4 linked regions of the Stegostoma tigrinum genome follow. The protein of the gene in region 4 binds, or shares a complex with, the protein of the main gene of each other region. Links are inferred from orthologs where the notes say so. Each region holds a gene or a part of one and is shown on either strand. Other genes may lie near its edges.

Evidence for each region.
Region 1: the proteins of ush1c (region 4) and myo7aa are in contact, whole or in part, in a crystal structure (PDB 5MV9), measured with the Homo sapiens proteins. The link is inferred for Stegostoma tigrinum from reciprocal best matches to the Homo sapiens genes USH1C and MYO7A. Residues at the interface, in NP_001284693.1 of Homo sapiens: Glu450, Pro456, Ile457, Val461, Val462, Ser463, Tyr466, Glu467, Lys479, Gly480, Pro522, Tyr526, Asp527, Asp528, Glu529, Leu530, Thr531, Phe532, Phe533; in NP_000251.3 of Homo sapiens: Phe1946, Val1953, Ala1976, Lys1995, Lys1996, Trp1998, Gln2017, Pro2020, Lys2021, Arg2024, Tyr2026, Ser2112, Ala2113, Phe2114, Phe2115, Glu2116, Val2117, Lys2118, Ile2128, Ser2161, Gly2163, Asn2164, Thr2165, Tyr2166, His2168, Leu2181, Glu2183, Thr2184, Ser2185, Leu2186.
Region 2: ush1c (region 4) and cdhr2 share a complex: the UniProt entries of both Homo sapiens proteins name them as parts of the IMAC/intermicrovillar adhesion complex. The link is inferred for Stegostoma tigrinum from reciprocal best matches to the Homo sapiens genes USH1C and CDHR2.
Region 3: ush1c (region 4) and cdhr5b share a complex: the UniProt entries of both Homo sapiens proteins name them as parts of the IMAC/intermicrovillar adhesion complex. The link is inferred for Stegostoma tigrinum from reciprocal best matches to the Homo sapiens genes USH1C and CDHR5.

The regions. Positions count from the first base shown.
Region 1 is NC_081359.1:106,243,909-106,250,767, reverse strand, and holds the start of myo7aa (myosin VIIAa), read left to right. Parts: upstream 1-3,857; 5' UTR 3,858-4,233; coding exon 4,234-4,344; intron 4,345-6,197; coding exon 6,198-6,311; intron 6,312-6,859. UniProt on the Homo sapiens protein: Myosins are actin-based motor molecules with ATPase activity. Unconventional myosins serve in intracellular movements. Their highly divergent tails bind to membranous compartments, which are then moved relative to actin filaments.
Region 2 is NC_081366.1:45,702,567-45,710,157, forward strand, and holds the start of cdhr2 (cadherin-related family member 2), read right to left. Parts: upstream 3,014-7,591; 5' UTR 2,945-3,013; intron 1-2,944. UniProt on the Homo sapiens protein: Intermicrovillar adhesion molecule that forms, via its extracellular domain, calcium-dependent heterophilic complexes with CDHR5 on adjacent microvilli. Thereby, controls the packing of microvilli at the apical membrane of epithelial cells.
Region 3 is NC_081370.1:35,281,785-35,289,551, reverse strand, and holds the start of cdhr5b (cadherin-related family member 5), read right to left. Parts: upstream 3,014-7,767; 5' UTR 2,804-3,013; coding exon 2,692-2,803; intron 2,602-2,691; coding exon 2,429-2,601; intron 1-2,428. UniProt on the Homo sapiens protein: Intermicrovillar adhesion molecule that forms, via its extracellular domain, calcium-dependent heterophilic complexes with CDHR2 on adjacent microvilli. Thereby, controls the packing of microvilli at the apical membrane of epithelial cells.
Region 4 is NC_081370.1:23,146,354-23,153,331, reverse strand, and holds the start of ush1c (harmonin), read right to left. Parts: upstream 3,001-6,978; 5' UTR 2,918-3,000; coding exon 2,882-2,917; intron 2,643-2,881; exon of another isoform or gene 2,535-2,642; intron 1-2,534. UniProt on the Homo sapiens protein: Anchoring/scaffolding protein that is a part of the functional network formed by USH1C, USH1G, CDH23 and MYO7A that mediates mechanotransduction in cochlear hair cells. Required for normal development and maintenance of cochlear hair cell bundles.

The sequences.
Region 1 (6,859 bases), on a different chromosome or scaffold from region 4:
GATCGTGCCCAGATCTCTGGTTCAGGATCTTTGACCTCCATGAGAGAGTTGCACCAGAATGTTTCCTTCAACTTCATTAATAGTTTTTGTGTGAAGGCTCTACCTGGTGTTGCAAACTCTGAAGATTGAGTTTTTGGTTGCAGAATTATGGTATGGAAGGAAGTCATTCAGCCCATGTCACACTGGCTGTATTATCAAGTTCAATGCTATCCAGTGCCAGTCTCACCCTTACCCCATATCCCCACATGCCACTCCTCTCCAAAATAATCACCCAATGCCCTCTTGAATGCCTCAATTGAATCTGCCTCTGCTACACTTCCAAGTAGTGCATTCCATTCCCTAACTATCTGGTGAAAAGGTGCTCTTTCCTCACATCCTTGCTTTTGTTTGCACGTCACTTTAAATGTATGCCCTTTTTGTTCTTGTGCTGAAATCAACTGAAAAAATCCATTTTCCCCTCAGTCCCTGTTTGCAGGATGCTGTTCATGTTGCAAAAGTAGAAATTGCTGGAAAAGCTCAGCAGGTTCGGCAGCATCTGTGGTGAGAAATCAGAGTTGCCACTTTTGGGGCTGAGTGACCCTTCCTCAGACCCTGACCCTGATTGACCATTTAAAAAGACCAGACAGAGACTGTATTTGATAGCCCCTATGTGACTTTACACAGCTCAGACTCTAATATATTACCTCCAAAGCAGTTTCTGCGAACTGACCATCAAATAGAAATTAAAAGCATAAATTGAGTTTGTAATGGGTCACTGCCATCTCACTAATGATAAAACCACATACACGTGATGCAATATTGAACTGAAACATCCATAAAATATTCCTCAACCAGAAACATTAGAGAAATCAGAGTCTGGCTCTAAGGAAGGGTCATTCAGCCCCAAAACAGCAACTCTCCACCGATACCTGCTGAGCTTTCCAGCAATTTCTGTTTTTGTCTCTGATTTACAACATCTGCAGTTAATTTCAGATTTTTTTAACTTTACCGTTTTGGGCACCACAACATTTGTCAGGCTTCTCGTACACTAACATGCCAGCCCCCAGTGCCTATACTTTGATCTATGGTGTTCCTTTCCCATTCCTGTCTCTTTAGGGGCTGTGTGGCCACCAGCCGTTTCCTGATCTTCCCCTTTCAGAATTATGCCATTCTGTTGTGCACCTCAGCTCGTGCCTCCAACTGTGTTGCTTTCTCTCTGGGTATCTTTATTGTAGTCCAACTAAGTCAAAGGAATTCACCAGCAATACAATATAGGTTTGTCTTTAATTATGCTTATACCTCCACTCTCGCATCCTTCGTCCCACTTTTAAGCAGCATTAAAAAAGTGTTGCCTCATTTCTGAATCTCTTTGAATTTTTGGTCCTTTCCAGAATTGAAGGATTTTAGGATGATTTCAGTTTTAGCTGAAATCTCGATGCCTAGTCTTGCACTTATCACCTGCTCAAGAGTATGGCAGTGCTGACCTAAATGGGTTGAATGGCCTCTTCCATTCTGTGTGATTGCCTTACTCTTAGAATCCTGGAATATACTGTTTGGCTTCAAAACGTGTCGATGCCCAAGTCTCTCTTTTTTGCTTTGTTTTTCTAAACTGCTCAGTTTTGAGTTTAATTTGGTAATCCCATGTATCCCAATGTCTCTGGTTTGGATGCATGGCATGTCTGTTTGCTGGTTGAGTTGGTGTGTTTTGTTTTTTAAATTTTTTTTTCTAGTGCTGAAGGGGGGAGGCACAGTGCCTCGGTGGTTAGCGCTGCTGCCTCACAGCATCAGGGACCCAGGTTCGATCCCAAGGTTGGAAGACTGTGTACAAACTCCACGCAGACCGTTTTCCCTGTATCTGTTGGGTTTCCTCCCACCGTCAAGAGCCATGCTGCTGAGATGGATTGGCCATGCAAAATTGGCTTTGTGTCCAGGGACGTGTGCCCTTGGGGTGGGTTAGCCATGGGAAAAGTAGGGTTACAGGAATAGGGTGGGTGGGTGTTGATGGGATCCTCTTTGGAGTGTTGGTATGCACTTGACAGACTGGCCAGCCAAATCCACGTGGTTCTGGAAGCTTTCTTGTGCGCCTCGGCCTGGCACTGTGGGTTCAGGTGGTCGCAGAGTTCTGTCACAGCAAATAAGGTCAAAACATTGGGTGTTTTCAAAGGGTCAGGTGTAATTCTTGGGGCTGAAGGGTATGGGGGAGAAAGTGGGAACAGGATTTGGATGATCACATTGGATGGCAGAACAGGCTTTTAGGGCTGAATGGCCTACTCCTCTCGCTCGCTCTCTTTTTTTGTTTTGAGTGATAAAAGTTCCTGACTTTTTCCACTGATCACAAATTTCATTTCCGCTAGTACCTTTTTTTGCAAAACATCCCAAAATGCTTCTTAGGGTCGTAACTTTTTTTGTCTGTCAGATTCTAATGCCTCCTCCTTTTTTTTTTGGAGCAGTGATAACAAGTGGCCAAATGCTTGATCAGAGGAGGGGTTTTGAAATATCTCCTCTCTTCTCCCCTGCCCCAACCAACCCATCTCCCCTTTTTTTGTTTTTTGTGTGTGGGCAAGGGTCCCAGGAGGGAATTTGAGTGCATGACATTTTACATTGGAACAGTGTAAAATCACAAGTGGCAGAATTGAAGGAATACTGATGTATGACTAGGGAGATTACAGACACTCTAACAGCAGACGGAGGGATTTCATAGAATCACTTAGTTTGTACAGTCTGGAAGCAGGCCGTTTGGCCCAGAGTCTACACCAACCCTCCTGAGGATCTGACCTGCCTACCCAATCCCTGTTATCCCACACTTCCAATGGCTAATCCACCCAGCCTGTACACCTTTGGACTGTGGGAGGAAACCCATGCAGACACCGGAGAATTGTGTGTGTGTGTTGCACTGTCGTCCCTGTGCTGTGAGGCAGCAGTGCTAACCACGGAGCCACCATGCTGCTCCAAACATCGGAATACACATTTCTGAAATTGAAGTTTGTGCTGGTGTGGTGCTGGGTGTGAACGTAGGCCATTGTGGGAGTAATGGGTGAAGGGGTCTTAGTGTTGAGTGTATGAAATGAAATTTACGCCGTCTTATGAGCGGCCTGTGGTGAGTGGACCTGGTTGAGTGGCCTATCAGTGACTCAAATTACCTCCCATTGTTTGGCTTATACCAGAGGATATCCTAGGGAAAAGGTGTCCCTCATGCCAATGTGGGGCTTGGATCAGTTTCGTGGAGGAGTTAACTCTCCATCTAAAGACCTGCGTGTGACCCAAGGCTGTGCGCCCACTTCCACTTCCTTCTGTGTTTATTGAAGAGCAGGGTGTGCCTATTCTACCTCATGTCAAAATAGTTAAAGCTTTTAATGTCTGACTGGGAATTTGTGACCGCCATTTCCAGACAGTTGATTCACAATTCCGCCCCACACCCCCCAACTTACCCCGACAGCTCAGAGCATGGCCTTTTGAGCAAAATGGCATAGTTTCTGGCCAATCCCAGAGCAGGTGGGCCTTTTGGTGTCATGTGAACAGCACTGAGAGAATTTCATCAATCGGAACTGAAGACCAGATGTACGACACAGACTTTTTTTATATATAAATGATTCACAACTGCTGTCATTAGCTATGGATGACTTCCACCTTTTCTCTTCCCCCCCCCCCCCCCGCCATGATCTTCTGTCCCTCACCCTTCCCCCTCCCAGACGGTTTCCAGGGAGGTTGTAATCACATTAATGCATGAGTGCTTACAGTATTGCACATGTCAAATGGATTAATGAATACCTGTTGTAACTCGACAGAGCCTGGCTTATAATTCACCAAGCTGTTTCTGCCAGATGACTGATATCTGGGCTCAAATTAAAAGGACAAGACCAATGTGAGAGGGTCCCACACGAAGAGACTGACCGGGTGCTGGTATTGAGGAAACATCAGTCTTATTCTGTGCAGTTTGGCTGGAGGCGCTCCAGATATGGCTGCCTTTTTTTAAAGGCAGCATAATCTCGTGAAATCTTACACCCACAATGGGGTCAGGTGTGCTCCTGTTAACGCTAGAGAGGGATTAGTTTGTGTTTCCTCACTGGCCCTATCGAGAGGTTGCTGTGTTTCTGTGCTGAGATTCTCTTTCCTCTTCCCCTGCTGTGTGGCACTGGAGTCCATGGCGACGTTAACTGCAGTTGTTGATGACAGGAACGCACTTGGGCATTGCTTAGATGTCTGAGGGCCTGCTGCATCTGCGGTTTTTGTGAGGTGAAGCTTTGAAGCCAGGACATGTACACACGCAGAGGGCTCGATGATGACTTGTATCAGAAGGACGAAGGGAAATGGGCTCTGCTGCCTAACGTCAATCTAGTGCTTAAACACCAGCACACGCTCCTCCCGGTAAGCACTCATCAAAGCTTTCTACTCCTGTCTGTTCAGATGTTATTATTATGCATCTCTGGATCAAGTATGGCTTGAACCCAGGTCTCCTGGCTCAAAGGTAGAGGCATTGCTGTGGTTGATCCCATGTATCTGCTGCCTTTGTTCTTCCAGAGAAGTGGTTGTGTTTGGGAGGTGCTGTCTGAGGAGCCTTGGTGAATTTCTGCAGTGCATCTTGATTGTACACACTGCTGCTACTAAGTGTCAGTGGCGTATGATAATGTTCCCTTTTAAGGGTGTATTTTGTCCTTTTTTTTTATATTTTGAGAGAATTTAAGACTGAAGTACACAGCTGTCTGTTTTCAATCCAATGAGCAGCTTTTGAGGCCTTGAGGTTTTTCCTTTTTTGAAAAGGTTGGAACAATAGAAGCAGCCTGAAATGGGTGGAGGTCAAGCGCTCTCAGAACCAGGATTAAGTTTTTTTGTTTGGTTTTTCAGGAGCAGTTGTTGCCAGGTTCGCTTGGGTTTAGAAGCTGCAGTACACCTCTCCCTGCTACTGCCTATATCTGTTTTTCTTTGATAGGTTTTGTTTTTCTCCCCCTCCTGGACTAGAGAATTGCATGTGAGACCATCTGTTTTACTGAGTTTGCCTTTGCTGAGCATTTTGTGATTGTCATGACATTGGAATGGTTATTGCTCGTGAAATTCCTTGAGGGTTAGCATAGATAATGCCTGAGATGTGTGCATGCATTGCATTCATGGTTACTAGGTGATTGCTTCCTCTGTCTCTCTATGCACTCCCCCTTTCACATTTTTCCCTACTTTGCCCTGCGCCTTTCCCCCTACCACTTCCTTGCATTCATCTTCTACTGCCACCTCCCCCCCCCCCCCCCCCCCGCCACCATCAGATTCATAGCCACTGTTATTTTCAATTCCAGACTCAAATTAACTTTACTTTAAATTCCATAACCTGCCATAATGCAATATTACCACTACCATAAGCTATAGAATGGCCTTGCGATCAGTCCAGCAAATACTTACCCTCAAGGGAGGCACTATCCGCTGGACTGTTAACCCAGAGATCAAGATAATGCTCTGGGGACCTGGGTTCAAATCCCACCACCTGCTGAGGCAGGATTTGAATTCATTTCAGTATCTGGCGTTGAGACTTCAATGATGACAATAGACACTGGATATATGGTCAAGGAAAAACCTATCTGGCTTATTTTTAGGGGACGTCCTTACCTGGTCTAGACTAAACGTGACTCCAGACCCACAGCAATGTGGCTGACTTTTTAACTGCCCTCCAGGCAATAAATGCTGCCTGACCAGTGACTCCCTCATCCCATGAATGAATAAAGAAATGAAGGGGTTTCAAGATGATACAGAAACTGATGGGGTGTTAAATAGTGAGGATGGTTGCCTGAGATTACTGGAGACTATAGACAGGCTAGCCAGATGAGTTGGTCAGAGACATATGGAATTCCGTCTGGATAAGTGTGAGGTGATGCACTTGAAGAACAAACAAAGCAAGAGGAAACATGAACAATTGGACCCTCGGAGTGCTTGAGGATCAGAGGGACCTTGGTGTATCTGTACACCAGGTCCCTTTTAAGGTATCAGGACAGTTAGATAAAGTGATTGTTAAAAAAAGTTTATGGGATATTTACCTTCAATAGCCAAGGGATGGAATTGAAGAGCAGGGAATTGATGCTGGAATTGTGTAAAATGTTGGTTAGGGCCTCTAGTAATATAACTACCTAGCCTGCACACTTCACTAAAGGTATAAAATTTATAATGGAGATTTAATTACAGATAAATCTTTCCCCCTCTGGTAAAAAAAACTGACAATGAGCCATCTGTCTCTCTCCCAGGGGGATTACGTCTGGCTGGATCTGAAGACTGGTCGTGAGTTTGAAGTTCCTATCGGGGCAGTAGTGAAACTCTGTGACTCTGGCCAAATTCAGGTTGTGGATGATGAAGGCAATGTGAGTATTCTGCCATTTTTGGCTAGCACTGTCATCATTCTGTCAAAGACATATAGGTGCAGGAGTAGGCCATTCGGCCCTTCAAGCCAACACCACCATTCATTATGATCATAGCTGATTATCCACAATCAGTATCCTGTTCCTGCCTTATCCCCATAACCCTTGATTCCACTATCTTTAAGAGCGCTATCCATCTCTTTCTTGAAAGCATCCAGAGAGTTGGCCTCCACTGCCTTCTGGGGCAGAGCATTCCATGTATCCACCACTCTCTGGGTGAAGAGGTTTCTCCTCAACTCTGTTCTAAATGGCCTACCCCTTATTTTTAAACCGTGTCCTCTGGTTCTGGACTCGCCCATCAGCAGAAACATGCTTCCCCCCTCCAGAGAGTCCAATCCCTTAATAATCTTGTATGTCTTGATCAGATCCCCTCTCATCCTTCTAAGCCTAGTGCATTACTGACATTATGGTGGTGCATCACTGCCAAATCTTAATAAAAAGGGGCAGAATGTTAGAATGTCCCAACAAGCCCAGTCGCTCCAATCTTTCCA
Region 2 (7,591 bases), on a different chromosome or scaffold from region 4:
AATTGTGTTCACAAGGACAGGGTGGCAATCCTACCCCGTAGCCAGAACAACAACAACTGCCAGAATTTTTTTTTCCACCATATCATTTCTTGGAGCTTCTAAGGACTTTATGGGTCCTCAACTCATTATTGCTTCAAGGGTGTCACTGAATCTCCCCTCACAAGAAGATCCCTTCCATTTAATCTCAGTCGCCCTCAATGCAACCAGTCAAACAGCTCCATCATTTGGCTTTCCAACTGTTGCAGGTTTTTCACAGGGTGAACATGCAATTGTTTGCAACCGTAGAACAATCAGAGTACCCTGTTGTGAACCAAAAAAGCATTCCACTTCCTTAGTGTTCACATTATTTGTGACCACAACACTCCAGGTATTGCAGGATTGTGTTATATATTCAGGGATCCACCCTAACGTGCACACCAGGGTGACTCATTGGTGCCATCATCTTTCAAAGGCCCTCAAACCATACAAGGACAGTTTCTGGATGGCAAATAGAATCTCCTCTGTACCTGGTTGATAACATCTTGAAGAAATCCTGTGACTGTTGCCAAGGGAGATACAACTCTTCAACCAGAGCTATTGTAGAATAGACTGAGTCCTTCTGAATATGTGGCTTCCAAGCCTGAACCAGACAGGTAGTACCTTACAGCATACCACAGACAGTGCGTGCCTCATCATGGTGATGTTTTGTGCCCTCCACAAAGAAGTATATAAAATTATGAGAGGCCTGGTTAGGGCAGATAGTCAGAGAATTTTTCCCAGGGTGGAAATGCGAAATACTAGAGGGTATAGGTTTAAAGTGAGGGGAGCAGTTTAAAAGAGTCATGCAAGGCAAGTTTTTTACACAGAGGGTTGTAAGTGCCTGGAATGCTCTGCCAGAGAAGGCAGTAGAAGCAGATATGATAGCAATATTTAAGGAATAAAGACCATGTACAGACAGATGGGATTAGTTTAGAATGGCACAGACATTGTGGGTTGGAGGGACTGCTTCTGTTCTTTTTTATATTCTACAAACGTCAGAGACCTTGAGCATTTCTTCCTCCACTAGCTGCGGACAAGTGTCAGGCTCTGACCATTTGTGAATTGCCTGTGTAGTGGCACAGTTTGACTGAATGATAGTTCTATGTGTACTATCAGAAAAAAGATGATGTCAGCTCTCCCCTTGTGGAGGGAGTCATTGACCCTTTTCCTGCACTACAAGTTGTTTCTCCTGTGGGGAACAACAGCATTGACACATGCTGCAAGGATGTGTCTGATGGGATAGATTCCTGATGCCATCACCAGGAACAGGAAGATCCTTCTAATGATGATGCAGCAGGGTAGCATCAGTAAACCAGGGAGACAGTAGAACCTTCCTTGCAGGCATTTCTGGGCTTGGGGGGTTACACACTGCAGGCTAACTGGAAATCCCTTGTTTCCCGGTTTTTTTAAGTGGTGTCCAACTGGCATTTAAAGATGGCACCTGAACCTTCAACACCAAAAGGTCGCAACAGCACTGACAGCGATGAGGCTTGTGCATCATTACACAGAGAATGAGCTTACATTCACATAATCATGAGGTAATTGCATTGGTAGATACGATGCCATCCAATATGCTCGATGTTACAGGATGGAAAGTTATGCCCAGAGTGTATACAAAGAGAAGAATTAAAATAATGGTTATGAGGCCAAATGACAGTGATCACTGACCACTGTACTTTCTCTTGTCCTAAGTGCAAAAACATGATGAAATTGTGCTATTATACCATGTTGATCTCATTTTCCAAGGCAAAATAAAAGTAGGAGTTAATTTACATAATTATAAAATAATTGGGGGTCATGATCATATAAAATGACTTCTACAATGTCTACATAGCAACATAGGAGTAGTGTAGGGCACCCAGCACACTGGGCCTGTGCTACCATTCAACATGATTATGGCTGATTGAAAACTTTGACATCTTCACTTATACACTATTCCCAGAACCCTTTACGCCATGAGTAATCAAAGATTTATCAACCTCTACCTCAAATATTGTCAAAATCTACCTTGCACAGCCCCCTAGAGGGATGAATTCCAGACATTCACAACTCTCTAAGTAAAAGAAAATCTCCTCATTTCAGTCCTAACTAGCATCCACTTACTGTTCAATAGTGTACCCTTGCTCCAGACCCACAACTAGGGGAAAAATCTTACCTGCATTTATCCCATCTATCCCTTTAAGAATTTTGTAAGTTTCAATTAGATCACCTCCCATTCTTCAAAACTCCAGAGAATACGGGCCATTTTACCCAATCTCATGAAGGGGGCTGTGTGGATTTCAAAACCCAATGTACATTTTCAGTTTCAGTTTATAAAAATGGCATGGAAATTGAAAGCACACTTTGGTGCTACAGTGAAATATGCTCTCAGGTTGTGACAGCAATTTCAGATTTCACCAAAGACCTCGGCACCAAATGAAAAAGGCACTTTCTCACAGAGCGGGAAGGAGGAATAAAAGTCGGTGGATATGAACACGCGACTAAAAAATCAAATATCGCAGTATTAGCGGGTGTCACCATGGTTTGTCTGCTCCTCTGTATTTGGCACAGATTGATATGTAGTGTTAATAATGGAGGTAGTTACATTACTTGGTTTGCAAAGTGAAAAACTAAGGTAGAAAGAAATCCACTCATCATTTCCTGTCATGGCGAAATGGCCAGTAGTATATATAAATGACAATGAATGTAAATATCTTTCACTTGGGATGTACTTTACAATCCCCATACAAATACATTTTCGCTAGCATACGTTGAATTCCAAAATAAAGAATATTGCACTGTTTTCAAATAAATATATCCAATGATAGCAAATTACCTCAAAAACTTTTGTGTCAAATTCTAAGGCATCGAACAGTAATAAATTATCACAGGATAATTAACTCAAGTTTTCAATTTGTGTATGCTCTAAGAAGATGTGACTACTTACGATTTTTACTGGAACCTTCTTTGTGTGAAATCTATTCTCTCATCGTTGGTTGACACTGATGGACTTTTACTTGTTTTACAGTTGAAGCAGTAAACCTTCCTACGTTATAAATGTTACTGATTAACAAATCACAACTGACAGAAGGTGTTCGCAATGGTACAAACACTTCCTTCATGAGTCAGAGAGAAGAAAACAATTAATTGACAAGCAACTGGCTACTTGTTAGTAAACCATGAGACAAAATTTGAAACCTATCAACATAAATCTTAACATACGTATAGCAAAAACATTGATATTTTATATTATTTAATTTCTTACACTTTTCCTGTATATATCTATATATATCAACAGGTTTGTACAGGCAAGGACCTTATTCTCTAGGTAATGAAGCAGATGCTTATGTAATTGAAAGATTATTCTGCTGTTTCTGCCACTATGAATTTGTTGCTTGCCTTCATTAGCTGAGGCAAGGAATATAGGAGCAAAGAAGTCTTCTTCCAATTTTAAAAAAATATTAGTTAGGCCACAGGTGGAAGGCTGTGTGCAGATTTTGTCACCACACTATCTGAAGGACCTGACTGCACTGGGAAGGATGCCAAGGAGATTCACCAGGCTGTTGCCTCAGTTATGAGGACAGACTGGGTAGGCTGGGTTTGTTTTCCTTGGAGCAGAGGAGGCTGAGGAGTGTTCTGATTGAGGTATACAAAATTATTTGAGGCTTAAGCAAAGTAGATTTTTTTTCCCCAAAGCAGATATGTCGAAGAGCAGACGGCATAAGTTTAAAGTGAACAGTAAGTGATTTAGAAATCCGAAATTAAAAATTCACCCAGAGGGTGGCAGAAATATGGAATATGCTGCCCGAGAGGATGGTGGAGGCATTCACTCTCACAACATTTAAGAAGCATCTGGATGAGTACTTAATATGCCAGGGCATAGTGAGCTACAGACCAAGTGCAGGTAAATGGGATTAGTTAGTTTGGTGTTTGTTGGTTGACCTAGACACGGTGGGCACTGTGCCTGTTTCTATTCTGTATGACCCTATGACTTTCTATGACTCTATAAAAAGCAGCCCATTTGATTGGCACCACATCCATAAACATTCAATCCCTCCATTGCTGATGCTCAGTAACAGCAGTGTCTACCATCCACATGATGAATTGCAGAAATTCACCAAGGCTCCTTAAATAGCACCTTCAAAACCCATGACCACTACCACCTAGATGATCAAGGGCAGCCGACGTATGGGAATGCCACCATGTGCAAATTCCTCTCCAAGTCACACACCGTCCTGATTTGGAAATACATCAAAGTTGCTTCATTGTCACTAGGTCAAAATCCCAGAACTGCCTCCGTGATAGTATAGTGTGTGTACCAACGTCTGCCCTTGCTTCCAGTCATGGTCTTATGTCCCTGATCACTAATCAAACCAGGAAACCCTATCCTCAGGAATGTGACTGCCTCATGGAAAAAGGTGTCTGGGTATCTTTCCCTCTCGCAGTGTTAGCCACTCCATCTTCAGCTCAATAACTCCGTGCTGAAATTCCTGCATATTATATCCTGGATCACTCCAGGACCGAAAAACACCCACCTTTTGAAATTCATGATTTATTTTGGCTGTCCCAAATTGCCACAAAAGTAAAACACTTTTAACATGTTGAGAAAGCAATCAATGTCGCTGAACCATATAAGGTGTTTATGACAAATCTGAATTTGAAATAGTTGGTCTTCCTAATGCATTTAGGGAGTTCAGAGTTAAGAAAATTTATGCACTTTTACTGGTAAACTTAACATCTATAGTCAGGAATCTTTCAATTTAAGATTATGTGAGTGAATATTCATCAGTTACTAGGAAGTTAACACTTGTTGTCAATTACCATACAATGTAAATATTATAGGTGCAAATGGAATATTGAAGGTGTTCAGACCAGAAGATTTAACTGCTAATAGCAATTTTATTTTCAGCAAATCACTGAGTTCCCCTTGGTGTATTTTATATAAATAGTATTTTAATTTTACGTATAAAAACAAATATATTCACCTATTTGTTTACTTTTTATTTGAATCCACCAGTGACACACTGAACATTTTCCAGAAAATAATTCAGGATGATTGTTGTAATTGATAGCATGTGAACTTTGAGTCTGGTTATAAGCTCTAAAGAATTCACTTACTGTGCAATAAAATGGTGGAAGGCTAGATAACAAACAGTATGATGGCATAAACCAAATGTAACCCTGGCAACAGAAATCATACAATACCTTTAAACCTTGTGATCTAATAATCTCAGTCCTACAGTGGATCTAGCTGTGTTGTCATTTTTGATTAATTACTTACCCACAACATGAGGATTGCTGTTACAAATCATTCTACAAACATGGTTCTTCTGTAAAATGGCAAGCAGCTCTCATCTTCTATATTCATAATGTCATGACTTCAGATGGTACTCATCCAGTGTACTAAAAATTTCACTGCCTTTTATCCTACTTTCACCCGAGATTGTTCCATATTTAGCACATGGTCATGTGTACCAAATCTTAAAATTCATGAATTAACAATTGGTTAACTCTTTTCCATTGGGTGAATCAGTAAAGGAGGGCAGCCTGGTGCTATGTATTTGATGACTGTATGATAAGATCACTGATCCCATGACCACAACCTTTACCTCTGACAGTTTGTGCCAGCTTCTGAGATTTACATGGATTGATTTTACAGTTTTCCAGGAAAATTGATTAAGAAGGAGTTTGTAACTGACTGGCTTCATCGACACGGAAATAAAGGTAAAGTCGCCGTAATCTCACCAGACCATAGGGCTGCTTTCTAGAGAGAAATGAATGGTGGTAGTTTAAACTGAGGGTCACCGGACCTCAGGCAAAGGGAGAGGTTAAAAAAAACAATGCCACATGCTAACCTCAATCAGAATAGGAACTGAACCCACACAGCTGGTATCTCTCTACTTCTCAAAGCTGTCAAGGCAACTGAGCTAAACTAGCCCCCTCTACATGAAAATATCAAATAAAGTAGCTGTTGCTTCATGTTGGTTATAAAGAAAGGCTGGATAGGCTGGGACTTTTTTCACTGGAGCATAGGAGTTTGAGAGATGACCTAATAGACATTTATAAAATAATGAGAGGCACAGAGAGAGTTAATGGTAGTTGTCTTTTTCCCTAAGATGGGGATTTCAAGAGTAAGGGGCACATTTGTGAAGTGAGAGGAGAGAGATTTACACAGAGAGGGATTTGCATGTGGAATGAAGTTTCTGAGGAAGCGGGGGATGTGGGTACAATTCCAATGTTTAAAAGATATTTGGAGAATTATATGAATAGGAAAGATTTGGAGGATATGGGCCAGGAGCAGGCAGGTGGGACAAGCTTAGTTTGGGATTATGTTCGACACGGGCTGGTTGGACTGAAGGTCACTTTCCATGCTGTATGACTCTGTTAAGGCACAACAGTGACTTCAGGAAGAATGAAAGGTGTTGATATGCACTTGAATATCTTGCTATCCCTCAATGTAGTGGTAATCCTCAGTATAAACAGCATATAAACAAATAAATTTCAAAAAGTTAATATATCATATGACATTGTGTGTTGATAACATTTTATTGAGAGATAAAACTATGCTCCTAACAGCAAAACAGCCAAGAAAACTAGGAGACAGACTTCATGATGTTCATGACAATCAGATTATTGAAAACTGCTGGCAGCACTACAAGATGATGGGATGGAGATTAAACATTAACCAATGGGAATTTAGATATTTCTAAAAGTTGAGGAGGAGGCAGTGGGGGTTCAAGTTCCTATTTATTTTAAGAATGAATCTAGGGTAGCCCTTCTATCTTCTCTGCTTCTGTACCTAGCAGTCTTCACTCTCACTCTGGGATGGCACAGCCAAACTCCCATAGAATATGTTCCCAACCTACCAGAATGATAATCTCACTTTCCAAGTCAATTTCTCCTAGACTGGGTTCGTGAAATTGTAAATTGTGCCGGCTCTGCGCTCTCTGCCCCACAACAGAAATTCAGGCCTAAATATGTAATGTATATCTGCCAATATTAAAAAGTCTGCTTCAAAATGCCAGAAAACCTGATCTAATTAGTGTTAAAGATAAAAATTTGCTTATGTTTATCTTCTAAATTTATTAGTACTTTTACTTTATGGAAAGTAGCAGTAACTGCTGCAAAAGGGGACAGAGTTTCAGTCGCAAAGCACAGTTGCCTATGTGGATTGTTGCATTGAATCCATACCGTGTGGGAACAGGCCATTTAGCCCAAAGAGTCCACACCGACCCTCTGAAGAGCATCCCTCCAGGCCCATCCTCCTACCATATCATTCTGCATTTCTCATGGCTAACACACCTAATCTGATTTCTGAAGAAGGGTCTAGACCCAAAACGTCAGCTTTCCTGCTCCTTTCCTGCTGCTTGGCCTGCTGTGTTCATCCAGCTCTACACCTTGTTATCACACCTAATCTACATATCCCTGAACATTATGGATAATTTAGCAAGGCCAATCTACCTAACTTGCACATCTTTGGACTGTGGGAGGAAATCAGAACACTTGGCAGAAATCCATGCAGACGAAGGGAAAATGTACAAGCTCCACACAGATATTCATGTAAGGGTGGAACTGAACCCAGGTCTCTGGTGCT
Region 3 (7,767 bases), about 12 Mb from region 4:
CCACAATTAGTGTGTGTGTGTCCCCCAACTCTACCCTCACCACAAACATAAAATATGGCACACTGACATCAGATTGACAATTCTGGCACCAGGTGCCAGTCTCAGAGAATACAGAAAGCAGATAGACAAGGAAATCAGAAGATTATCCAACATTTAGAGATAAACAAAAACTATTGAGCTTCTTTCAAAAGAAATCACTTGCTTGCAATTTTTTTCATCATCTAGTGCATTTTTCAGAATGTTGGATGGGCCAAAGTTTGTGTGTATTTTTTTACAGCATTGACTTGGCTCACCGAGACGAGTGAGCAAGAAGCAAGCAGACTAGCTATTTGTCATTCTGCTTCCTGCACTTCGCCAATAAACATAAGCCCCAGTACCCTGTCCCAGAACTTTCAAATGAGCTCACTGCTTTTGTGTAAATCCTTACGAATGTTTCTTTCACCACTTGGTGAGTTGAATCACAAGTACTATGTCACTTATTCAATGCCTTACATGGGGCATGAAATGGGAGGACAGGAAAGCAACAGGAGATATTGCTGACTGGGAAGGAGTGGTTTGAGGTACTCTTTCACACGTTACAGCCTGTCCCTATGGTGCCGTGAGCAATTGCCATTGGTTGAGAACTTACCGTGTTCTAATTTAAAACAAAAACTGAGAGGGAAGTAAAGCGTACTTTAGCCTTTATCACAAGAGGTTACTGTAAAGGTGTAAGAAAATCTTGCTGCTATTATGTTGGATATGGATCTGAAAGGGTTAATGCTGAGACGTGCCTTAAGGACTCCACTCTGTGATAATGTCATGTGGACCTGATGGGAGTACAGCTTAGGATCTCTGAGGTATAATGGAAAATGGCTGCTCGTCTCAGTAATCAATGTAATTTGTACATAGTTGTTTAAATGTATATAAATGGGAACTTGTTAGAAACAAAAGCCTCTTCTTGTTAGACCAGCCAATGGTTTTCCTCTAACGTATGAGATCAGCTGGCCCTCTAAGACCCCACCTTAAAAGAGGATGGTGGCTGAAGGCCTACTGCATGATGAGCAATCGTGCAAACAGTCTCACGCAACAATGTTGTGTGCAGAGATCGTTGCTCACGCAACATATTACACGGAGCCTTGGTAACACTCAGCCTGGAGTACTAAGTATAGTTTTGGTTCCCCTTACCTAAGGAAGGATAAACCTGCCAAAAAGGAAGAGCAACAAAATTTCATGAGATTGATCCTGAAATGAGATGGCTGTCATATGAGGAGAAATTTAGTAGAAGGGGCCTATATTCTATGTCAATTAGAAGAATGAATAGTGTTCTTATCGAAATACGTGAAAGTTTGTGAAGTTGGAACATCGAGAGGCTGTCCAGCTGAGCTCACAATAACGGGTCTGAAACATGGGTACAAGAGGGGACAATTTAGTCCATCAAAACTGTTCTACCATTCAATGGTTGATTTATGATGTAACTCCATTTCCATGCCTACTTATCACTTAATATCATTAGCTGACAAAAAAGTGTTCAATTTCAAATGTAAAATTAATAGTTGATCCAGCATCAAATGCTTCTTACAGGAGAGAGTTCCAAGCTTCTACTACCCTTGCAGTGTTAAGGTTTGTCTTAAGCTTACTTCTGAAAACTCAGCTTTTAATTTATAGACTGTATCGTTGCATCCTGCTCTTCCCGCCAGACAACTACTGTTGTGTCTAGCTATCCTCTTTGTTTCTTATGATATCTTCAAAATTTAGATTAAATCATCCCTAATATTTCTAAATTTCAGGGAATTGAGGCCGAACGTGTGTAATGGTCCCTTGTAATTTCACTCTGGGAGCTGAGTATCTTTCAGGTAAATCCTTTCAAGGCCAATGCAACTATACCCCTGTGTCTGTGTGGATCTCCTGTCTTCCTGTGGCTGTGTGAATCTCCTGTCTCTCCCTGTGTTTGTGTGGAGCTCCTGTCTTCCTGTGGCTGTGTGAATCTCCTGTCTCTCCCTGTGTTTGTGTGGAGCTCCTGTCCCCAGTGACTGTCAGGATCTCCTGTCCCCCTGTGACTGTCTGGATCTCCTGTCTCCCTGTCACTGTCAGGATCTCCTGTCCCCCTGTGTCTGTATGGATCTCCTGTCTCCCTGTCACTGTCAGGATCTCCTGTCCCCCTGTGTCTATATGGATCTCCTGTCTCCCTGTCACTGTCAGGATCTCCTGTCCCCCTGTGTCTGTATGGATCTCCTGTCTCCCTGCCACTGTCTGGATCTCCTGTCCCCCTGTGACTGTCTGGAGCTCCTGTCTCCCTGTGACTGACTGGAGCTCCTGTCTCCCTGTGACTGACTGGAGCTCCTGTCTCCCTGTGACTGGAGCTCTGGCCTCCCTCCAACTGTCTGGAACAACTATTTCCCTGTGTGTATCTTGAGCTCCTGTTTCCCTGCGACTGGTTCATTGAGATTACCTCAAAATCGATTGTTTTTGTGAGCACCAGTGTGGTCCCATTGACAGCAACATCAGGTGTCTTTGACGGATCTAATATTGTAACCGGAGGTTCCCTTATTGTTATATTACTGATGACCAGGTTTGCATTGTTATTCTCTTTCACGTGTATGGGATTTTCTGAAACACAACAAGCTAGAGAAAGATAGAAAGGACGTTAAACTTACAGTTAAAAAGGGACAAACAAAACAATTGTTCATGCATAATATGAAAGGTGTGGCTTACCCTTGTTGGGAGAGCAGTGGTTATTAACAGCAGCAGTTGCATTTATCTGAAGAACTGCGAACAGGATGAACAGCAAGATGTGGGGGCCACAAATCGTGCGGCTTGTGTCCATTCTCTCTTGGACGCTGAAGATTTTTGCCAAAAATCATAAATAAAGCCTCACTAGGCCCAAGTCACTGAACCGAAACTGTCCCAGCCTCAACCGCTTCTTTCTGTTAGCAGCTTGAAAGGAATCCGAATCAAAATAGACTGACGGAAATATTGGTGCTTGTTGTTCCAACCTTTGCTTCATGGCGTTATTACTTTATTGCTATTCTGCATACCCAGTCACTGTTTAATTCCCACTATGGAAAGTCATAAAAGCTGATCACATCCTGCACTGACACGCCACTGGCTGCTCGTCAAAGGCTAATGAGATACAGTCTCACTTCAAGTGGGTGTGAATGTTTCATAGATTCCTTACAGTGTGGAACCAGGCCCTTCGGCCCTACAGGTCCACAGTGATCCTCAGACCCAGGCCCTATAACCCACCTAATCTACACATCCCTGAATGCTACAGGCAACTTAGCATGGCCAATCCACCTAGCCTGCACTTCTTTCAACTGTGGAGAGAAATCAAAGCACTCAGAGGAAACCCACACAGACACAGGGAGAACGTGCAAACCCCATGTAGGCAGTCACCCGGGGATGGGCTTGAACCTGTGTCTCTGGTGGTGTGAGGCAGCAGTGCTAACCACTGAGCCACCATGCTACCCTCTCCAAACTGTTGACAGATCTGAAAAATACATTTCCTGATAGACGCTTCTGATCAAAGTCTCCAACTGCTCTCCAAGGGCCTATTACATTGCTTCCAAGGGTGGGACTTTAAAGGAGGACACCAGCACCCACACCCCAGCTTTCCCAACCACCACTCATACTATTAATTGCCTCTTAAGCACTTCCCCCAACTGTCTCTAATAGTTCACCAGCCTCAGAGGAGAGGGTGGTAGAGGCTTGCTCATGTCCCTTGGTGGATGTTGTGAATAAGATAGATCACTTGTAAGCCAGAGTCATGCCTACTCTTGGGACTTTGTCCACCATCACCACGGTAATATCTGGCTCTGCTTACTCTACACTTAACATCCTGATCCTGGCCTTCACCATTTCTCATCCAGGGCACAGCAGCCTGGTCCCAGTTCCAAGAAGTGATCATCATTGGGAACTGAATGCTAGCCCAGCAGTTTCACAACTCCCAGTGGCACTCCTCAGGCTGGAGAGCTATGACCAGGTCTCAGAGAGGGAGCCTCATCCTAAAGGGGCATGAGTATCCCTCTGTGATTGAAGGATTTCACATTAATTCCCCTAAACACAATCTAGGAACACTTGCCTCTTGCTGCCCCTTACTTGGTTTCTATCCCAGTCTATACCCAGATAGTTAATGACGCTATGATGTTGACCCCTCGCTAGAATTTCTTTGTAAATTTGTTCCTGTACACTATTCCCATGCGGTGGTGATCTATAGATTGCATTGAACAATGTAGTTATATTCCTTAGTTCTAACTAAATTAATTCCACCCTTGACCTCTCTGAAATCTCTTTCTCCAGAACTGCAATGATGTCCTTACCCTAAAACCCTCTGAATCCTCTCCTCTGATAACAAAGTGTGGAGCTGGGTGAACACAGCAGGCCAAGCAGCATCTCAGGAGCACAAAAGCTGACATTTTGGGCCTAGACCCTTCATCAGAGAGGGGGATGGGGAGAGGGAACTGGAATAAATAGGGAGAGAGGGGGAGGCGGACCGAAGATGGAGAGGAAAGAAGATAGGTAGAGAGGAGAGTATAGGTGAGCAGGTAGGGAGGGGATAGGTCAGTCCAGGAAAGACGGACAGGTCAAGGAGGTGGGATGAGGTTAGTAGGTAGGAGATGGAGGTACGGCTTGGGGTGGGAGGAAGGGATGGGTGAGAGGAAGAACAGGTTAGGGAAGCGAAGACAGGCTGGGCTTGTTTTGGGATGCAGAGGCGGGAGGGGAAGACCTGGGCTGGTTTTGGGATGCAGTGGGGGAAGGGGAGATTTTGAAGCTTGTGAAGTCCACATTGATACCATTGGGCTGCAGGGTTCCCAAGCGGAATATGAGTTGCTGTTCCTGCAACCTTTGGGTGGCATCATTGTGGCACTGCAGGAGGCCCATGATGGACATGTTGTCTGAGGAATGGGAGGGGGAGTTAAAATGGTTCGCGACTGGGAGGTGCAGTTGTTTGTTGCGAACCGAGCGGAAGTGTTCTGCAAAGCGGTCCCCAAGCCTCCGCTTGGTTTCCCCAATGTAGAGGAAGCCACACCGAGTACAATGGATACAAATACCACATTGGCAAATGTGCAGGTGAACATCTGCTTAATATGGAAAGTCATCTTGGGGCCTGGGATGGGGGTGAGGGAGGAGGTGTGGGGGCAAGTGTAGCACTTCCTGCGGTTGCAGGGGAAGGTGCTGGGTGTGGTGGGGTTGGAGGAGAGTGTGGAGAAGACAAGGGAGTCCCGGAGAGAGAGTGGTCTCTCTGGAAGGCAGACAAGGGTGGGGATGGAAAAATGCCTTGGGTGCTGGGGTCGGATTGTAGATGGCGGAAGTGTCGGAGGATGATGCGTTGTATCTGGAGGTTGGTGGGGTGGTATGTGAGAACGAGGGGGATCCTCTGGGGGTGGTTGTGGTGGGGGCGGGGTGTGAGGGATGTGTTGCGGGAAATGCGGGAGACGCGGTCAAGGGCGTTCTCGACCACTCCGGGGGGAAGGTTGCGGTCCTTGAAGAACGTAGACATCTGGGACGTGCGGGAGTGGAATGCCTCATACTGGGAGCAGATGCGGCGGAGGCGGAGGAATACCAGCCCAGTTCTTCCCCACCGCCACCCCCCCAACTGCATCACAAAACCAGCCCAGCTCGTTCCCTCCCCCCACTGCATCCCAAAGCCAGCCCAGCCTCTCTCCGCTTCCCTAACCTGTTCTTCCTCTCACCCATCCCTTCCTCCCACCTCAAGCCGCACCTCCATTTCCTACCTACTAACCTCATCCCACCTCCTTGACCTGCCCGTCTTCCCTGGACTGACCTATCCCCTCCCTACCTCCTCACCTATACTCTCCTCTCCACCTATCTTCTTTTCTCTCCATCTTCGGTGCACCTCCCCCTCTCTCCCTATTTATTCCAGAACCCTCTCCCCATCCCCCTCTCTGATGAAGAGTCTAGGCCCAAAACATCAGCTTTTGTGCTCCTGAGATGCTACTTGGCCTGCTGCGTTCATCCAGCTTCACACTTTGTTATCTTGGATTCTCCAGCATCTGCAGTTCCCATTATCACATCATTAATCCTCTCCTCTGTTTTTTTTTCCTCTTCTATCTCTTCAGACTGTCTTACAAGCAGGAATATTTAACACCCAGACCTGCCCTTCTCTGTTATCACACAGCATCACAATTTCACATGACAGTCTGCACCTTGTAGCTCCCCAGTGTTATTAACTGTGCTTTGTATGTTCACATACATGCAGTGTATTCAGACTTCATTACTTTCTCTCTCAATCTGACTCCACTGATTATAATTTACTCTTCTCTATTTTTGCGCTATCTGCCTCTCCCAGAATTTTGTGCTCCTTTGAATTACTTTCTATTAGCCTGTCCTGGTTCCCACACCCTTGCTGAGTTATTTTAACATCTCCCCAACAGCACTAGTAAAACATGCGTCAAGGTACTCAGCCCTGGTTCTGTTCAGGTGCAAGCTTTCTGACTTGTATAGAGGTCATCTTTCACAGGGCCCAGTGCCAATGTCCCAGGGATTCAAAGCCCAGCATTCACCTGCCTAATCCTCATATTTCTGTACTCACTTGCTTTTGGGACTGAGACTAATCTGAAGTTTGCTACTTTAGAGGATTGTTCTCACAGGGCTCCTTAAAGTATGATTGCAGGCCCGCATTCCCTTTTCTCCCTCTGTTGTTAGTTTCAGTGTGGGAGATACCACCACTGCCTGTTCAACCTCCCCCAGAAGAATGTCTGTGATATCACTGATCATAGCACCAACGACACAACAGACCATCCTGGAATCACATCAATGGCTGCAAAAATGCCTGCCTGCTTCCCTTACCATAGAATTCCCTTTCAATACTGCCCTTTCACTCTGATTGCTCCACTCGTGCAGAGCTGGGCTACCTGTAGTGCCATTAGCTTGACTCTTGTTACACTCCAATATCTAGAAAGAAAACAGCTAGCCAGCAGGACCACTGGGGATTCTTGCAGTACCCTCCTGTTTCTCTTGGTTTGCTGGTATCAGTCATTCCTGAACTGCCTTTTTACGTTCCTTATCCCTAATTTGGAGCATGACAACATCTGTGTGTGCGCAGTCCATGTAGATTGCTGCACCTCAGTGATTCCAGCTGTTGCTCCAGCTCTGATGCTCAGAGCTCAGGTTTATGCATCATGGTCACTTCCAGCCCAACTGGGTCGTGAGATGATAAAGTGTGAAGCTGGATGAACACAGCAGGCCAAGCAGCGTCTCAGGAGCACAGAAGCTGACGTTTCAGGCCTAGACCCTTCATCAGAGCTCTGATGATGGGTCTAGGCCCGAAACGTCAGCTTTTGTGCTCCTCAGATGCTGCTTGGCCTGCTGTGTTCATTCAGCTTCACACTTTATTATCTTGGATTCTCCAGCATCTGCAGTTCCCATTATCTCTGGGTTGTGAGATGGGTCCACAACTCCCCACACACCACATTCTGTTTGGTTGAGCTGCCCTGCCATACCTTTTAGGAGAATCTCGATCAGGAGCCATTGTTTAAAGCCAAGGGTTCCCTATTTAAAACAACACATCAGACAAAATACTTAATTCCAGAGAGTCGTGCTTCTTTGAAATTCTCTTCTTGAAAAGGTGGTGAGGCGAAGTCCTTGAATATTTTTAAGGCAGAAGTTGACAGTTTCTTGTTAAGCAAGGGGGTGAAAGGCTATCAGGGATGGATGGAAATGTGGACTTGAAGTTATAATCTAAAAAGCCACGACCACATTAAGTAGCAGAGCAAGCTGAAGGGGCTAATTTATATGTTTGTATATTCTTCCCATGTCGTTGCAGACCCT
Region 4 (6,978 bases):
GTTGGTGGAGTTGTGCATAATGTAGGTTGCAATGGGACATTGAAAGGATGTAGAGCTGGGCAAAGAAATGGCAGACGGAATTCAAACTGGAAAAGTGTGAAGTGATTCGGTTTGGAAGGTCAAATTTGAATGCAGAATACAGGGTTAATGGCAGGATTCTTGATAATGGAGAGGAACAGAGGGATCTTGGGGTCCATGTCCATAGATCCCTCAAATTTGCCACCCAAGTTGAAAGGGTTATAAAGAAGGTATATGATGTGTTGGCGTTTCTTGGCAGGGGAATTGAGTTTAAGAGCCGTCAGGTTATGCTGCAGCTCTATAAAACTCTGGTTAGACCAAACTTGGAATGTTGTGTTCAGTTCTGGTCACCTCATCGTAGGATGGATGTGGAAGCTTTAGAGACAGTGCAGAGGAGATTTACCAGTATGCTACCTGAACTGGAGGCTAGGTCTTATGATGAAAGGTTGAGGGAGCTTGGGCTTTTCTCATTGGAGTGAAGAAGGATGAGAGGTGACTTGATAGAGGTGTACAGGATGATGAGAGGCATAGATAGAGTGGATAGCCAGAGACTTTTTCCCAGGGTGGAAATGAATATTACGAGGGGGCGTAATTTTAAGGAGATTTGAGGAACGTATAGGGGAGATGTCAGAGGTGGGTTCTTTACACAGAGTGCTGGGTGCGAAGAATGTGCTGCTGGCGGTAGTAGTGGAGCCAGATACATTTGGGACATTTAAGCGACTCTTGGATAGACACATGGATGATAGTAAAATAAAGGGCATGCAGGGTAGTTTGATCTTAGAGGAGGATAACAGGTTGGCACAACATCGTGGACTGAAGAGCCTGTACTGTGCTGTATTGTTCTATGCTCCAATGTTTATCACAGTTTGCACACTTCACTGTATTCTGAGTGATTACATGGCAGCTTCATAATTTTTAAATCCTATTCCATGATATTGCTATTTCAGGGCGATATTCAAAGGTTATGCAAAAGTGAGTTGCAGAATGACAAAGTTAGCAGCTCTTATTTCATGGTCAGCAATTAAACCACAATGTTCACCACTGAACTGCGAGAAAGATGACCACGAAGAACTAACAATCTGTGTTAGTAAAATGAACCACATGGTAAGATATCAAACTATAAAGATTAGAAAAAAAATTGCTGTGCAATCACTGTACAGAATTTGCTGATCTATGTTTGAAGCATAGGAGTTGGACAATGAACCTCAATAGAGTGAATACTCACAGGGTGATACATCACATGAAGTGCACAAATGTCAATGTCAAGTGAAAGCAAATTTGATACCAATGTCATACCTTTTCTATAACAGACAGGTTTTTCAATCAGTCACTATTTAGTTGGTACTTAATGAATGGTTAAGTTAGCAAGGAGCTGAGAAGGTGATGGCAGGAATGGAACCCACGTAAATTTTAAAACTTGCTGCAATATAATTTGCAACATCTTTGGTTTCTTCAACATAATAAACATCCCAAGGTACTTCGTGGAAGCAAATTTTTTTAAAAAGCTGAAAAAGAGGGGAAAAAAGGCAGTTATGCTTGGTCAAAGAATTAGAAAACTCCTTAAGGAGTAAAGCAAGATTGGGAGATGCAGATATTTGGGTAGGAAATTCTGGAGAAAAGGGTGGAGGCAGATGAAGGCAGTTGTTGCTTTTTATATATTTTTGCCATACTTTCTTCCTGTTCACAGTCAAAGGGTTAGAACAAAATGCCAAGGACATTAAATAGTTTAGTGCTATTACATGAGTGTACTGCCTTTATGGTGTTACAAAACATTGTTTCTAACTCCGCTACCTCGACACACACACACTTGCAACAATAAAGAGTGGGAAATCTATTTGGTCTTCCCTCAATCAGGACGTGCTACTGGAATCTATTGGAATGCCCAGACCTTACTGTCTTGGCTGGGAAGTCCTCATTTATTACAGAGCCTGCAGCGGCATCAATGCTGAGATATGCCTTGTGCTCCATAACGCTTAGGTAATTATAGACGAGGCATCCATAATCACTCAAATATTAAAGCAACATTGAAAACTATATTTTTAAAAACACTCATTCAATTGACTTTATTGCAGGAACTGAACTGACCTAAACCCACTTGGTTGGAAATATGGATTCTGCCAGGAAAAAAAAACCTCTATTTATTGAGAACTGTATGATCGCCGCATTATACGGGGTTCAATGAAGATTGTTAGCTTCTTTGGAAATAGCATGAAGAGAAATAAAAACTAATTTACTATTAAGTTTGATTGCGACATCAGTAATACTCTTCATTTTATTGTATCGATTTTGTTATATAGAGTCTGGAAGGCAATGCCTTTGTTAAGGTACAACGTTCCCAATATACGTTAGAGTCCAGGCGCCTTAACATGTGTCTAGATGCAAAATACTGGATTTCTTCGCGCAGTTGTAAATAGTTTTCATTACGATATCGCATTTCAATGGGTTCACTGTGTTCAATCTACTGCCAAGAGCTTATGGAAGTATGTGTTCCCCTGCTCCTCTGACGGCGCTCGACTCCCAGGGTTGAGTGAGATCGTTTCCTGGGCAGAGCGATTGCTCAGAACAGGGGAAACATTGCGGAAACTTTATCACAAATATCAACATTTAAAGGCGTTTTACTCCAGGTACACCGTTTGAACACTACGAAAACAGAGCTGAATGGAAATAGACATTTTTTCGGGAAACTAACAAATGCCCTTCCCCCACTTGTTATTGATACAGCTGGGTCCATAGTCTCTCATAACCTAAGCTTACGAACTCTTCTTTGAGCACAGCAACAACGTCCTAACGCTAACAGAAATACGTTCAAGATAAGTGAAAAGCTGCGTAGTTTTTAAATTTTGCAACTTCCCTCGCTCCCTACCTTACGTCTGAATTCTCTGGCCACCTTTTTCTCCATTCTGGCAGGCTGGATGCGATGGGAACCAGGAATGACCGGCCCCTTTTCCTCTCAACCCTTTGGGTGTGGAGAGCTTGCAGTTAATGACAGCAGACAGGGCGAGATAAGAAAACAAACTTTAAACATGATTTGTGTCTCTGTGAAGTATCACCGTTCGCATGTATGCTTCTGCTGTTACCGCATTGCTTTACTTTAAGTTGTTAAAATGATCGCGTTCATTTATAAAGCGGTTTGTTCAGTTATTTTTTAAAGACCCATCTTGCGCAGGCAAACACAATCCAAATAAATCTCATGTATATAATACCGAGCTTATGTTTTAAGGTGTCTTAATAGTTTTTTTCTGTGTTTATTTCAAGGTTCCTTGAGCAAAACACCGTGGACTTGCTTTAAAAGAAAGAACATTTGTTTAATCACTTTGTTTAGAGACGTTATGACACACCTCCACCAATTCAGAGATTTGAACCTAAATTTTCTGGCCCAGAGCTAGGAAGACCCCGAGCGTGCTTCCGGCAAATGTTACGACGCATGTCGGTAGGTGGAACTTGCATTTACGTCCTTTGGCCGAGATATAGCGATACAATTTCCAGTATTTTGCGTGCTGGGATTTGAACATAGTCCGCACAGGTTTAGCGTGGAGCTCTGAATTGTTCAGCTACTGACATTACCTCTACAACACCTGCTCCCCAAATTTTTCATCAACTACTTCAAATCTTATATAGCACACCTCATTGGCAGCTGGGACTTGAACCTAAACCTTCAAGTCCAGAGATAGGGACATTACCACTGACCTAAGAGATTTCAATCCATGGGGCTGCACATGACCATTAATTAATAGATGCAGGCAAGCAATGTGAGCGTTTTATTTATTTGATTTTCTTACTCTTCCTGTGGGGAGAAGGCTTGATTTCTGTTTTGGTACCTCCTGAAATCATTATATTTAAGATCAGAAACTTGGCATCAAATAGAATCACAAATTTATACTGCACCCTGTAGTGGCGCAGCTTTGTCTTTTTGAAGTTCACCAAGATTTAGCTTTGGTTTATCAAAATGTATAATACCTACTGCAAATGAGAATTAGCATAAATGCAGTGTTTTACAATGGTCTGAATTTTGCACAGTGCTGAAGCATAGATGCACTGGAGGTGCAATGATCTCCCTGGCTTTTTTTCTCTCTCACCCTGTACTTGATTCTTGTTTTCTGGGGAATCCTTCTATGCAGCTGCATCGAGATGTCATCAAGCTGTATGAACAGCCAAAGAATTCTCTAAATCAATGAAAAGCGCTTCCATAAAGTCACTGTTTTAAAAATTGACAAAAGCAAATTAAAGACTAGCATGTATGCATGGGGTGAAGCTACATACTGAAACATCACAAAAATATTTTTAAAGAATTATTCACAAAGCTTGGTTTTAAACAACTTAAGTTAATCATAAGAGAGACATTTTGTATCACTCCACAAATACAAAAATGCTTCTTCAGGGCCAGGATAATAAAATGTGAGGCTGGATGAACACAGCAGGCCAAGCAGGATCTCAGGAGCACAAAAGCTGACGTTTCGGGCCTAGACCCTTCTCTGATGAAGGGTCTAGGCCCGAAACGTCAGCTTTTGTGCTCCTGAGATGCTGCTTGGCCTGCTGTGTTCATCCAGCCTCACATTTTATTATCTTGGAATTCTCCAGCATCTGCAGTTCCCATTATCTCTTCAGGGCCAGATCTATTTTTGGATTGGGAAATTCTCACCACATCCACTTGGTTTGTTAATTGCTAGCTTTGCACGTGGGTTAGTGTCCACACATCAGCTTGTGGCAGAACAGTGAGTGACAAGTCACAACTTCAGCATTTCCAAATAATATGACAGATTTCTAAATCCTGAAGTTTCGATCAGTTTGTGTGCGCTCCACAACCTTGTGTAAAAAATGGAGTGCCTTGGAAATCAGTGCTGAGGCCTCAAGTATTTGCAATCTTGATCAATGCCTTGGATAACTGGACTGAATACGTGGCAGCTAAACTTGCCGAGAGATAAGATAGGTGGGAAAGTACGTTGTAAAGAGAACATAAGGAGTCTAAAAATGTATACAAATAGGTAATGAGAGTGAGAAAAACTTTGGTAGATGGAGTGCAATGCAGAAAAATGTGAATTTGTCAAGTTTGGCAACAAGAATAATGAAGCAGCACATTAATTAACTGGGGAGATTTAAACACAGAACTGATCATGCAGAGGGATCTGGGTATCTCGGTACATACATCACAAAGTTATATGCAAGTACAGCATGTGATTAGGAAGACATACATAACAGAGTCATAGAGGCCTACAGCACAGAAAAAAAGGCCCTTCCACTAATTGAGTCTGAAACAGTCAAAAACAACTTCCTAACTGCTATACTCCCATTTTCCAGCACTGGACGCATATCCATAATAACCTTTATGTCACACACATCTAAATATTTCTTAAAAGTCATCTGTCCCTATCATCCTGACAGGCAATGTTGTTATTTGTCGAACGGTAATGGAATATAAAAGTAGGAACATTTTTCTAGTTGTACAGACCATTGGTGAGATCTCATCTGAAATACTATGTAGATTTGGACTCTTTATTTAAGAAAAGACATAATTTCATTAGAAGAAATTCAGAGAAAGTATGCCCATCTGATTCCTTGGATGATGGAGAGCTCAGGTGGTTTTGGGGTGAGGGTAGAAGAAAGGTAAAGAGGAAAAGTTGGACATGTATCTCCTGAGTTTAGAAGAGTGAGAAGCAATCTAATTGAAATGTATAAAGTGCTTGGGGATACTCAAGGCACAATTACCATCATGGGAGCATTTAGAATTAGCGGACAGAATTTAAAAATAAAATTATCTCCATTTAGAACATAGAACATTACAGCGCAGTATAGGCCCTTCGGCCCTTGATGTTATGCTGACCTGTTTATCCCCCAACTCTCAAGGTCTTCTGATTCTTGCTAGCTCCACATTTATTTTTGTCACTCAGATGGAGATGGAGATGGAGATTTTGTTTTGCCTAGACAGCAGGGTTATTAAGTATATGTAAAATTGAGTTGGATAGCTTCCTTACAGAATACTGAGCGGCCTGGGTGGAGTGGAAATGGTGAAGATGCTTTCACCAGTCGGAGAGACTAGAACCCAATGGCACAGCCTCAGTAAAGAGATGACCCTTTAGAACTGAGATGAGGAGGAATTTCTTCAGCCAAACGGTGGTTAGTCTATGGAACACATTGCTGTGGAAGCCATGTCATTGCATGTACTTAAGGCAGAGATAGATATGTTCTTGATTTGTAAGGGGGTCAAGTGTTATGGTGAGAAGACAATGGAATGGAATTGGGAAACCTAGCAGCCATGATTGAATGGTGGAGAAGACTCAATGGGCTGAATGGCCTAATTTTGTGACAATATCTTATGGTATCAATTAACAAGAAAGTGAAAAGATGTCATGGGTAGACAGGAAGGCAAAGTTAAGGTCAAATCAGATCAGTCGTGAACCTGTTGAATGGAGTGTTTTGTAGCAGCTGATATTAGTACCGGACTAGTCAGATCTCACATTGAAACCTGGTTTGATAGACACTACCCTTTCTCTAAACTGCAGAGTTCAGTTACATTCAGAAGAGTCTGCAAGTGCATTTTTATCACAAAGAGTTAAACATTTATTAGACAGGTAAAAATATGAACTACATTAAATGAGATGAAAAGGTTGGAAAGTTTCATTACAAACACCAGAAAAGTAATGACACTCACTATTCTTTTTAGCGCAGCAATATTTTTACAAAAGTCAAGTCCCATCAAAGGTTTACTACGATCTCCATTCTAAAGCTTCTTGCTCAGTCTGGCACAACTGCAACCTGTTTCCTTCTGGCAAACTCCTGCACATTCATTTAGTGTTTTTGTTTGGCTGGGATCTTCTTGGAGCAACTGAAACATTGTGCAAACCGAACTGACGATTACTTTAACATCATAGTCAAAATGTGAATTCCCTAAACTCAGTTTTTGGCAGTATTGAAGATTTCTTTCTGAAACTGTCCTGTTTTCACTCTCTGGTACACCCACACACT